Drosophila melanogaster: one gene and its partner. The protein of the gene in region 2 purifies or fractionates together with the protein of the main gene of each other region. This does not show direct contact. Each region holds a gene or a part of one and is shown on either strand. Other genes may lie near its edges.

The links.
Region 1: the proteins of dgt5 (region 2) and dgt6 purify together in Drosophila melanogaster (affinity purification with western blotting; 2 studies listed by BioGRID, with this or other methods). This does not show direct contact.

The regions. Positions count from the first base shown.
Region 1 is NT_033777.3:29,128,050-29,132,936, forward strand, and holds dgt6 (dim gamma-tubulin 6), read right to left. Parts: upstream 2,924-4,887; 5' UTR 2,843-2,923; coding exon 1,981-2,842; intron 1,915-1,980; coding exon 1,480-1,914; intron 1,419-1,479; coding exon 898-1,418; intron 832-897; coding exon 685-831; 3' UTR 535-684; downstream 1-534. Other genes in the region: Vha100-1 (vacuolar H[+] ATPase 100kD subunit 1), read left to right, coding at 3,660-3,776, 4,077-4,253, 4,327-4,455.
Region 2 is NT_033778.4:12,465,742-12,473,476, forward strand, and holds the start of dgt5 (dim gamma-tubulin 5), read right to left. Parts: upstream 6,035-7,735; 5' UTR 5,988-6,034; intron 5,982-5,987; exon of another isoform or gene 5,811-5,981; coding exon of another isoform or gene 4,203-5,810; intron 4,142-4,202; coding exon of another isoform or gene 3,171-4,141; intron 3,109-3,170; coding exon of another isoform or gene 3,012-3,108; exon of another isoform or gene 2,910-3,011; intron 2,452-2,909; 5' UTR 2,332-2,451; coding exon 2,237-2,331; intron 2,170-2,236; coding exon 1,892-2,169; intron 1,829-1,891; coding exon 604-1,828; intron 538-603; coding exon 350-537; intron 284-349; coding exon 12-283; 3' UTR 1-11. Other genes in the region: CG8545 (uncharacterized protein), read left to right, coding at 3,012-3,108, 3,171-4,141, 4,203-5,810; Nepl10 (Neprilysin-like 10), read left to right, coding at 6,174-7,735. UniProt on the Drosophila melanogaster protein: As part of the augmin complex, plays a role in centrosome-independent generation of spindle microtubules. The complex is required for mitotic spindle assembly through its involvement in localizing gamma-tubulin to spindle microtubules.

The DNA.
Region 1 (4,887 bases), on a different chromosome or scaffold from region 2:
ACGCCAGTATCCGTATCCATATGTAAAGTTTTTTGTGCGGCTAGACATGTGATAGGCGCGGACCATAAAGACCAAAAGTAATACCATACAATAACATGTATACAGAGACACAAAAGTACATATCTCACATTCATGAAGTTTAAGTTAACGATAATTATTATAATTTTCGAATTTAATAAAAATGAATTCATTGAAGACACACTTTTCAGTTTTGTTCTTATTTTATTTCTCCATCATTATATTCACTCATTTTTTTTTATTTTTATACAATTTGTTTCATACTTTTGCCGTTCATTCATCTAGAACGCTCAACCCACTCATTTCAGAAAGTCTGATTTTGCAAGGATGTAACAGATCGCTGAAGCCGCAATGAAGAACAATAGCTATAAGATATGACTTTTAAAAGTATATATATAATAAACCTTAATACTGCCTCAAAGGTTGTTTATTTCAATAATAATCTTAAGTCCTGAAACTCGAATTTCGAAAAGCCTGGTATACTTATAGATGTATTTAAAAGAAGAAAATTGCTTTCAAGCTGAAAGATTTTAGTTTTAATTTCATATGGGTAATATTAAAAACTAAAGTAAAAAGTATATTTCGTTTAAAAACCTCATAACCAATTAGAAAAAGAATACAAAATCTATTACCTAAACAATATTGGCCATTCGCGATTCCCGTGGACTAAAAGATAATATCCTTGAGCACGCTATCGCTGATGTTCTGCAGGTCATCCTCACCACCAATCTGATCAAAATCGAATTTATGCGAGACATTGAATGCATTCTTATCGTTTTCAATGTTGAAATCGGGATCAAGCTGCAGTGAGTCCTGTAAAAAAAAGGAACTTGAGATTCGTATATTTCGTAGGCACGTATTATTGTTGATCCCACTTACATTGATTGTTCTGTCGTTGAGCTGAAGACGTGGCGCGACATCTTGCTGGTGGCTCTCGGTATGTGGAACCAGTGCATCTAGGCGTCCAGATGGCGAGGTGCTAAGATTAAGCACATTCCGTGATACCTCCAGGACCTTTATAACCGCAGCGCTCTTGGCGATCAGTGAAGTGTTGTTTTCCGAAGTGCGCGGAATGCGCTCAATTCGGGTGCACTCGCTACCACTCAAGGGTGTAAAGGGATCGCTGGGATCCGTTGGTGAGGTCTGAGGTGAGATCACTGCTGCTCCTGGCACCGGCGCCTCATCGAAACCGAATGACGCTTGCATTTGCTTCCACTTGCTGCCCAGGGAGGAGAGATTCGCCTGCGGAGCTGCCTTGACCTTGGAGGTGTTTTTGTGAATGGTGCGCAGCATTTGCATGGGATCGTTGATCTTGGATCGGTTTAAAGTGCCATTAAGGTCAATGCCGGTCGATTGATCAAGGGCTTTCAGCTTGCGTGCTGATCGAGGCGGCGCAGGTGCTGAAAAGGAAAACTCATAAGGATGAGGGTCACTAAGCGAACGGTTTAGTTCACTCCTTACCGAGTAAGCTGTTGCTTAAGGCATCAAACTGTTTGCCATTGAAGTCATCTTGCAGTGCAAGACGCACTGGGGCATTGCGACCGCCACCGCCGCCCATGTCGATTCTGATGGGAGGCGTGGAAACAAATTTGGAGCTGATAACCGATTCGAAGCGAGGCGTGGCCGGCTGAAGCGTCTGTACCCTGGCGGAGCCACTTGCATTGGCACTTCCCTTGTCCTTTTTGGACGGTTCGTTTAGTTTCTTGAGTAAATTGTTCAATTGGACTTCGGACTGTGAAAGTTCCACTCGAAGAGCCTGCAAATCGGTGGTGACAAACGCATTCGATTCGTTGTAGTGGTCATTAGCATCCAGTTGCTCGGCAATTGTGCCGCTGATCCGATTAAAGCCGTTTAAGAGCGCATCCATTTTTGATGCGCCCAAAGGATCGTAGAAATCTGCGAAGGAATTGAAAAACCATTTAAATTTAAAGACCTGCAAGGATGCAACCAAAGATGTCTCACCTCCTTCTGTGACTGCATCACAGTCGAACAGCACTCGCATGCCCCGAAGTGCCTTCTCCACCGCCTCCTTGCTCTGGTTGTTCTCGGCTTGCTTCACCTGGAAAAGATCGATGGCCTCCTTGAGACCGCACAGAGATGCCTCCAGGTCGAATTTCCTTTCGGTGGGTTGGGTAATGACCCGCTCCACGCCGAGTGCAGCGGTGGCCTCGAACTCATCCAGAAAGCCATCGTCCGCCAGTTGCTCCTCGGGCACTCCCATGTCTGCAGACAGATCGGCCATCAGGCGTCTGATCTTCTGGGTCTTGTCCCGCAACAGGGCCGTATTCTCCTCCAGATTGACCACATACGAAGAAGCGTACTCCTTCATCACGGCATTTTGGCGGGCCATGACCTTGGCGCTCACGTTTGGTGTTCCCGCCTCTAAGCCAAGTGACTTCTCGCGCTGCTTGATGAGCTCCTGGATCACGAAGCCCACGAACTCGAGCAGGAAGTTGATGAACCTCATGCCTCCGGGCATCACCACCAGATACGACTTGATGTTGGCCCAATGCAGCTGGTGCTTCTCGTTCAGATGCTTCAGATACTCCACCGTGCTGGAGCGAAAGTTCGCCTCCGACTTCTTGTCGGTGATGGGCCAGAAGAAGCGGCGTTTGAACTCCGCGGGATCCAGCAGACGGAAGAGGTAGTGCATCACATGCACGAAGGCCACCTGGTTGGGCTTGAGGAACATGTCCCAGGCAATCAGCTTACGCAGCTCGTCCGGCAGGGGGTGCACCAGGGCCAGTCCCTGCAGCTTCCTGTGGAGCTTCTCGCTCTGCTCCTTCTCTTCGGCCTTCCACGGTGCAATTATGGTCCGATCCATATTTTAGCACAGAAATTAAGTAAAATATGGCGGTTTAGTTTGAAGTTCTTTGTTTTTGTTGCTGCCCAGTGTTACCAAGTGGTTGAATTCAACTGAATGAAGACGTTCCCACTGCCTGTTTATATTGACGAAAAATGTTATATAAAAGGGATAAATCTATTTATTTTCCCTAGGAATAGTAACTGCGAATAGCATTTGTGTTTTTTAAATGTTTTTTATAATATTTCCCAGATATTTGTTTTTAAGTACAAATTTATTTCCCTAGTTACTCGATTGGTATAAATCCAATGACCTGCCACGGTCACACTAGATTCATAGTTCGGAAATTTGTCGGTTGCTGGAGTTTGTGGACGAATTTATATTTAATTTTTAAGCACTTGGTAATTAACTAATCGACGTTCATTTCGAAGTGACCCCCTGACAAACTAAATAGTTTTCGGATAAAGCTCGAGCCCAGTCACTGGCTGACCCCCAACGAGCCGAAAACCTTGGCATCCGGGTCCAACGTAGCACTTTCTTTTTGTCCGCGGCGGAGAAAAATCAATATACGCATGGGGTATAGAAATCGAATCTCGGCGCATATATAGTATAGATTACAGACAAATAATCTGGGGGACAAGCGAACGTCCGCCCACCGAAACGATAACCAAATCAGCATGAAAATATGTATGCGACACGGCCGCAAAACTTAGGAAGAAACCCAGTTTGGCCATGAATCATGCAATTGAATGGGCCCATTGTGTACTATATATGTACATATGCATTCTGATTTAGTGTCTGTTCTCCATTCGCAGATATCGGGAATCCGGCTGCCACAATGGGTTCCCTATTCCGCAGCGAGGAAATGGCGCTGTGCCAGCTGTTCCTGCAGAGCGAGGCGGCCTACGCCTGCGTCTCCGAGTTGGGAGAACTGGGATTGGTCCAGTTCCGAGATGTGAGTAGGATGGGTTACATAAAGCTGCGGTCGAGGCAGCCGCACTGACTAACCATAAACCACAATCATACCCCTTACCTCATTAGCGAATTCGGTATTCCATGAAACGTCCCCTTTAACGCGAATGCAAAGTAAATGCAAAGCTGGTGACACCAGCTACTAAGTGTATAGTATAACTACGTGTGTTACCTCATTTAAATAAAATTGAAAAATATAGTGGCATAAGTGCTATATCTTGATCGCACAAATGAAGTATCTTTGAGATCCCCCAATAACAAACCAATCTTTTGAAATCCGCAGCTCAATCCCGATGTCAACGCTTTCCAGAGGAAGTTCGTCAACGAGGTGCGCCGCTGCGATGAGATGGAGCGCAAGCTGCGTTACCTGGAGAAGGAGATCAAGAAGGACGGCATCCCCATGTTGGACACCGGGGAGAGTCCCGAGGCCCCGCAGCCCCGCGAGATGATCGACCTGGAGGTATACGCCGCCATACTCCCTGTTTTCTGCTAAACACTGTTGAACTTATATGGCTTTCTTGTCTGCTGCTCAGGCCACCTTTGAGAAGCTGGAGAACGAGCTGAGGGAGGTGAATCAGAACGCCGAGGCCCTGAAGCGCAACTTTCTGGAGCTGACCGAGCTGAAGCATATTTTGCGCAAAACCCAAGTGTTCTTCGATGAGGTAAGCTGCGGCATGAGTAACTCCATATGGGTATCAGCTAACAAACTGCGATCGGTTACCGATTTACCATTAACAAATGCCGGCCATTGAAGCGGCCGGTAACTAACCAAATTTTCTAAGCAATAACCAATTTCCCAACCGACAACACAAGTGTGGCAGCCACGACTTCTAGTCACATAAGCAATCTATCCCAAATTACACTCTAAAATTATTTCCCCGTATCTCCCCACTCGGCACGTATATCCTCCTTCTCTGCTTCCAAAGGCAAACGAAGTGTGCTTTCTTACCCTTCAGTTTGAGTTTGTACATATATATCGTAATGTGCGTTTGATATCAGTTGATGGTTATTGTTTCTTTCGGTCGCGTTCCTGGGCAATCAGAGGAAAGCCATGGGGCAATAGGTTCTAAAATATATTTATAAAAAAAGGTCTT
Region 2 (7,735 bases):
AAATAACGTACTTAATTAGGTGGCGCTCGCATCGAACTTCCATTGGTGGTCATGCGATAGTAGAGATTGAATTCGGACTCGTAGTCCGCGAAACTGCCATTGTTGTATCGTTTACTGGGTGGAACGTAGCGTCGCAATGGATTCTCAAGCAGGAACTGATAGATGCGCTCGGCCTTTTCCAGCTGCAACTGAGTCTTCACCCCAATGGCCATCAGGTTGTCCAGCAATTGGTCAATTTCCTCGTGCTGACGACTCGCCTTCAGTCTCAAATCGTGCGGATCAACTGGGGAGCAGGGTGATACGTTTTCTATCAGACGGATATGAGACAAAATGTCGGAATCGAGCTTACCAATTAACGGCTGCAAATTCAATTTCAACTCAGACGTGTGTGCGGCAATTGCTGACGCCCACAAAATGCGTTTTCGGACTTCCTGCAGAGCGCCGAAGGGTGTTAGCAAATAGCCTGGTGCCAGTTGAACGGTGGAGGCCAACTCCTGGGCCTCGACGATGAGTGGATTGGCCGACAACAGGAAGGAGCTGTCGGAAAAAACATGAACTCTGGATTAATTGGAAATAGCACATTCAGCTAAAGTATGCTCTCACCAGGCGCGCGGCGTACAGCTAAATTTTTCCAGCGGTATTTCCAAAAATGTATTGAATTCCAGCAAATGCGATGGTAGCGTGGCTCCGGATGCAGCCATCAGTGTGGTAGATGCTGCTCCGCCCGGCACTAGCGTTTTGTTGTCAAAACTGCGACGCATCGTTGAGTTTATTGCGCTGCAGTTGCCATCGAACTCCACCTTGGTGCTGGAGAACACACTATCATTGGCCAGGCAAAAACTCTCCGCACCCAACATGGACATATTGCTGACTTTTAGCTTAGTGCTCATCAGCTGGGACTTGGCGTTTTGTTTCTGTGTGGCCGCTTGCATATCGTCCAGCAGGTTCTTCATCATATTTCGCGAAAACAGGATCTTCTCCTTGATCTGTGACAGCTGCACCATATCTTGCTGGATGCGATTGATGCTGGAGTTAATGTCGCCGTATACTTGTTTCACAGAGCCTAGCTTTAGATCGTGATTCTCCAGCTGCTTGGCGCCCGCATCTAGCTCCAGACGCAGTTGCTCAATCTGCTCACGAAGGAATTCGTTTTGGGAGCGATTAAAATTGCGCATGTTGTACTGCACCAGATAGTCGCTAATCAGTTCATCCGCATTTTCCTCGTCGCCCAAACTTATGCCATTAAATCTGTATACCTTTGATTGCAGTTTGTCCACAAAGACGCTGTAGTCTTGGCAAAAGCGTTCCTCCTTCAGTTCCAGCTCCTTTTGGGCCGCGAAATATTTGGCCGCCAGACCCAGCATATCGGCCTTGGTCTTTAGTAACTTGACCTCATAGTTATTCAGCGGTGGCTTATCATTTGTGCATTCGCCTCTGGATTCATTCAGCTTCATGATGTGCTGCAGCTGCTCCTCTTTGATCTTCATTACCACGTTCAGAAGCAGGGAGTTGGGAATATCCGCAAAGGTGCTCCGCATCTGATCCCATAATCGCTGCTTGGCCTCGGCTAAATTGTTCACCGCATTGCCATCGTCACACATTCCATAGAAGGTCTCCAGCTGCTTGAGAGCCTGCTCCACAGCCCTTGTTGCCTGCGCCTCGCTGGCATTTCTAGCACTCAGCTTCACGGGCGTGGTGCCCAAGATTTGGATCTTGTTCTTCAACTCCTGGTCGTAGTTCTTATTCAGCGACTCCAGCTTCAGGTCAAGGATATTGCATTTGGATTCAAGTAGTTGCTTCCGGTTCTCAGCACTGATGGTTTGAATGTCTGTATGGGATTCACCGCATTAAATTGACGTCAAGGTTATCAGTATGTTCACTTTATACCCACTCTTGGTCTTGATGCCGGCAGATAGCTTTTGGTACTCTTTTCGGGCCTCCGTAAGCTGTTGGTTCGCCTTCTCCTTGTGCTTCTTTAGCTCCTGTATTTTTTGGTACCTCTGGAGCTCCGGTGGCTGGAAACTCCTAGAGGCCAGCGGCACCATTTTGTCCTTGTAGCGAGCCACTTGGGCAATCAGCAGGTTCTCGCGCACCTCCCGCACGTAATCCACCGGCTGGATGCGGGATTGCAGCTGGTTCAAAAGTAAACTGGAGCCGGACTTAAAAATTCTGTGAAGCAAAAAGCGGGTTTTAAGTACGGATAGTTGCCGATTTGCCTAACACAGCTGTAACTTACCTTCGGAGTGCATCATCGGTGGGCAGGGCAGTGGGCGGGCAGCCAAGATTAGTGGCCCAGTTCTTAAATTCTGTTATTTTCTCCTGGTATGCCATGATTTGCAACTAATTAAATTTTTCGCAAAAAGGCGCAGTCGTTTGAACCAGCCATTCACCAACACAATCAAATATGGCAGGGTTGTCAACAAACTACTATTCGCATCAAGTTGGCAGCAACTATAACGGTTATTTAAATTAATTTTTCATTTTAAATTACAACTAAAGATCATATCTAATTATTGAATGGATATAATACTTACTTATAAGCAAGAATTCTGTTAATTAGATATATTCCAGATTTTTTTTATTTATGATATTTTTGGATTTACCAATTAGTTTACCAACTCGTTTTTATAGTGCTGAGAAATACGTTTGCTGCTAAACAGCTGGGAGAGCAAGTAGCTAAAATATCTTAATTAAAAAGTTCCACGTGTTTTCCAAATATATATACTAACGTAATCTGTATAAATAAACTGTGTAAGAATCAAGCAAAGTCCGACAAAATAAAATTTAAAGTAATATATAATTTTATTAGTTATTAATATATGTTGAAAAAAAAACATTGTTCATAGCTAGTTAAAAGCTGAAAAGTTGACAGCACTGGCTCAAGCAATTCCCTCTGACCAGTGCTGGAAAACACTCGCTGTCTTTTGAGCGGCGCACGTGGAGCAAAATCGAAGTGCTCACGTTTTTTTTTAAGTTCTGCTCCAAGAAACTGGATAAACTAAGTTAAAAATATGGGTCGGAAGGCTGAATACAGTGAGAAACCGAAAAAGGGACCTGGGCGCAAGGCGCGCAAGCAAGGACCGCCTGTTTTTCGCAAACAATCGTTTGGTGAGAGCTCCTGAATATTACCCTATTCAATGGGTGTTCAATTCAAATGTTTTACTTCACAGCTCCCATGGAAGAGGAGGACAAGAAGCTTTCCCACCGACAGAAGCAGAGGTTCGTTAAGCGAGAGCAAAAGAAAGTAGTCCAGAAGGCCAAACTACAGGAGAAGAGGGCCAAGGGAAAGTTACCACAACCGGCTAAGCGGAAGACGGCCTACAACAGCGACAGCGATCCTGAGGATAATGAAGAGGAACCACAGGTTGCATCCTCCGATGAGGAGGTGCCTCAACTGGTGCCGGCTCCGAAGGGCCAGAAAGCTACAGCTCCCAAGGGTTTTACAGATGATAATGATGCCTGGCTGAAGCCCAAGAAGCAACAGAAGCAGCCAGAAACGGAGTCCGAGGAGGAGGAGGAGGAGGATGAGGAGTCGGAGGAGGACTCCGAAGATGAGTTGGGAGAAGAATGTGAAGAGGAAGAGGAGGGAGACGATGAGGAAGGATTGGAATCTGATGATGATACCGCTCAGGTTGGCAAGCTGGCCGATCTATCCGACGATGATGATGCCAACTCCGACGATGACTTTGACATATCTGGCGAGGAAGATGGTGCTCAGGCAGACAGTGATGAAGAGGAGGATGAGGACGACGACGATGATGATGATGATGATGATGATGACAAGCTGCCCATCGAGCGGGCTAACAAGAAGTTGAAAAAGCGCGAGGCAGAGGAAGCCCAACTGGCCGACGACGAAATGTTGGAAACCGTTGACAAGCAGGATGTTTTCCAGCTACCCGTCGAAGGCGAAGAAACCGAGAAGGACCTAACCCTGCAGGAAGTGCAACAGCGCATAAAGGACGTCAGTCTGGTTCTTTCCGACTTCAAAAGGTATCGTCAAGCGGATAGGTCTCGCGGGGAGTACATCGATTTGCTGCGCAGGGATCTGTGTTTGTATTACAGCTACAACGAATTTTTGATGGAGAAGCTGATGGATATGTTGCCGCTGACAGAGCTAATGGAATATCTGGAGGCCTCAGAGGTTAGTATATTTCATAAAAAATATAGTTACAAGATTAATCATTAAAAATTAACCCCTTTAGATTGCTCGTCCCCTAACCATACGCACCAATACTCTAAAAACACGTCGTAGGGATTTGGCCGGAGCTCTGATCAATCGTGGCGTCAACTTGGATCCCCTTGGTAAATGGACGAAAGTTGGATTGGTTGTCTTTAACTCACAGGTGCCACTGGGTGCAACTCCAGAGTATCTGGCTGGCCACTACATGATCCAGGGCGCCTCTTCGCTGTTGCCTGTAATGGCACTCGCCCCGCAAGAGAACGAACGCATCCTGGACATGTGCTCCGCCCCAGGTGGAAAGGGATCCCACATCGCAAGCATCATGAAGAACACTGGTGTGCTCTTCGCCAACGATTCTAACAGGGATCGCATCAAGGCCATTGTTGCCAATTTCCATCGCCTGGGAATTGTAAATGCAGTGGTCAGCTGCGAGGATGGCACTAAGTTCCGGAATATTATGACTGGCTTTGACCGTGTCCTGCTGGATGCTCCGTGCACTGGAACTGGCGTCGTCTCTAAGGATCCCAGTGTGAAGACCACCAAGTCGGAAGTAGATGTACAAAGGTGCTACAACCTGCAGAGGAAGCTTCTGCTGACTGCCATAGATTGTACGGATGCGAAGTCATCAACTGGCGGCTACATTGTATACTCAACTTGTTCGGTGTTGCCCGAGGAGAACGAATGGGTCATCGACTATGCACTGAAGAAGCGAAATGTCAAACTTGTGCCCACTGGTCTGGACTTCGGCGTGGAGGGCTTTACCAAATTCCGTCAGCATCGGTTCCATCCTAGCTTAAACCTTACCAAGCGCTACTATCCGCACACCCACAACATGGACGGGTTCTACGTGGCCAAGCTCAAGAAATTCTCCAACACCATACCCATAACTAAGGAGCAGCAGGAGGAGGATGAAAAGCAGCTGGATGAGGCCATCGAAGCGGACGCCACTACAGAAGCGGCTGCGGAGTCTGAGGAGGTGGAGGAGGAGGTAGCGTCAAAGGAGAAGGGTCCCCGAAAACTGCTTGGAAAGCGCGCCGGAAAACCCAGTTTCACCGAAATCGAACAGGAACTGAAGAAAAAGAAGCGGGAAGAGAGCAAGACCAAGTATGTGGCCAAGGTGTTTGAGCAGCCTGTCAAAAAGCCAAAGCCAGAAAAGCCAGCAGAGAAGAAAAATGAGAAATCCCAGGCACCGGACAAGCAAACAAATTCAAGCGAGTCACCTTCCAAGTCTGCACCTAAACAAAAACAAACCAATGGGAAAACCACTGTTTCCAATTCAGATGCGAAATCATTCAATAAAAAGAACAAAGGATCGCAACCCAAGGAAAATGGAGCCGGATCACCAGCTAAACCAGATGACAATAAGCCAACAACCAATGGCACAAACTCCCCTAGCAAATCAGCAATTAAGGAAACGAAAACGAAGCCACAGCCGAAAGGAAAACAGTCGCCCAAGGGAAACGCCAAACTGGCCAAGGCGCCGCGAGTGGATATCGACGATGTGCCCATTCTCGAGGGAAAACCCATCAAGAAGCAGAACAAGCTGAAGCAAAAATCCAAACAGATCGGCCAGCTGAAAAAGTCCACGGCGGGTGCGAATGCGGGAAAGAAGCAAAAGTTCAAGAAGTGAACACCTTAGATCCAGTTTTGTTAAGTAGACTATAAGCGTGTGACATATAGTTGGGGTAGTCCCGACGCGATTACCAATTTTATATTGCGAACTGTCTTAGCGAACGATTGAAGATTGAACTACAACAGCGGTGTAATTAAGATTCAATAAACGTTAAGATCGGTTTAATGTACTCACCAAGCGGGTTTATATAGGTGGCAGGCACATTTCATTAGAGGTAATTGCTCTACATTTCAAATGTGAATTCTAGTATTGACCAAGCTGTCACTATCAGCCCCAAAGCTCTATAGGTAGTTCGAAGGTGGCCGAGCTCAGCAGAGCGTTGCGATAATCTGTTGTTTCATTGTGAATCGAGCGAGCTTAATGGGATGTTTACTTTTACTGTGCTCTTGCCTGGTGGCATTATTCATTCCCATCCAGGCAATAGTGGACATCAACGTGGCAACGTCGAACGATATTCACAATAATCTCAATAGAACAACATCACCGTGCACGAATTTCTGGAATTTTGCCTGCGGTCGCTTCTCCAGTGCCTCTAAATATGTGGACAACTTTGAGCGAGTCGAGGATCAGTTCGCCACTGCCATGGTGGAATTCATGGAGAGCCACTTGGGTGAAAACGATACACTGGCACCCCGACTGATAAAGCAAATGCGACAATACTACAAGGCCTGCAAGGAGGATACGCGAAAGCTTCACGGGAATCCTCGTCCCGAAGAACTGGTCAATCAGTGGATTTTGCATCCTAAAAAATTTCTCGTATACGGCTTGAATGGTGTATTCATTGATGAGCGAGTTGATGTGGCCGCCAATGATTCCATGCGTTGGGTTATTCAGTTAAGGATGCCTGACCCGGCTGATAGATATAGTGACCGCCGTGTCTTGCAGCTCATGCGCCTTTACGAAGAAGCGTGGTACTCGATGGGAGTGGTTAAACTGGTGGAGAAAATGCATCAGCTGCAGGATAAGTATCGTGCAGAATATCCTGTTGTATATACATGGAGTTTCAGTGAATTAAGGCAGGAAATCCCTATTCCGCATTCCTTTTTTATTGAGTTATTGGGCGTGAACCACACCGAGGAGCTTTATCACCTGACTTTCGAGGTGAGTGATGTTGAGTATTTGCGGGAATGTTTTCGCTGTCTACGGGATTTCGCCAGTGAGCCGAAGGACACGTACATTCGAGCACGCCAATATGTTTTAGTGGAGGAGTCGGAGCCAAGGGAGCGGAATCCAAGAAGCTGCATTCACCATATGCGTGCCTATTTACCCCTGGGCATGAACTACATCTATGATCGATTTATATACCAAAACCGGGAGGAGGATACCAGTAAGGTACTGGAGATTTTATCCACTTTAAAGGCAGCTTTTGGCCAATATTTAGATGCCAATCGCCTGCAGCTTACGCCAAACCAGTTGGCCTATGTAAGAGCAAAGTTGGAAGGTATTCAGATCAAAATAGGAAATTTGCCTGAGGAGAAATCTCCTGAGTTCTATAATAACCACTATGGAAGTGCGAACTTTTCCGCGACAAACTTCCTGGCCAATCTCCTTGAAGCATTTGCCCTACGTACCCGTCTCCAGAATGCTGGACTGCTTGCAAGGAATTCTCGAGTGGATCTGCGGCACTATTATGTCAACGATAACGTAAGGAAGGCTCGCACTTCTCCCTTCTATGAGAACGAAAGGAACACCATTACTGTTCCCATGGAATTTTTGCAGTGGCCCTTGTTCGATCACCGAGAGCACACCATCTTCCAGCACAGTCTTCTGGGCGCAGTCCTGGGCCACGAGATGAACCACGCCTTTGAACAGGAAGGTATACTCTTCGATGCAGCTGGAAATGAGTCACCTGTGGGCTTGGAGATCCGGGAGTCGAAGCCTTTTCGGGATGCCATCAAGTGTGCGGAGGAGCAACCATTCGT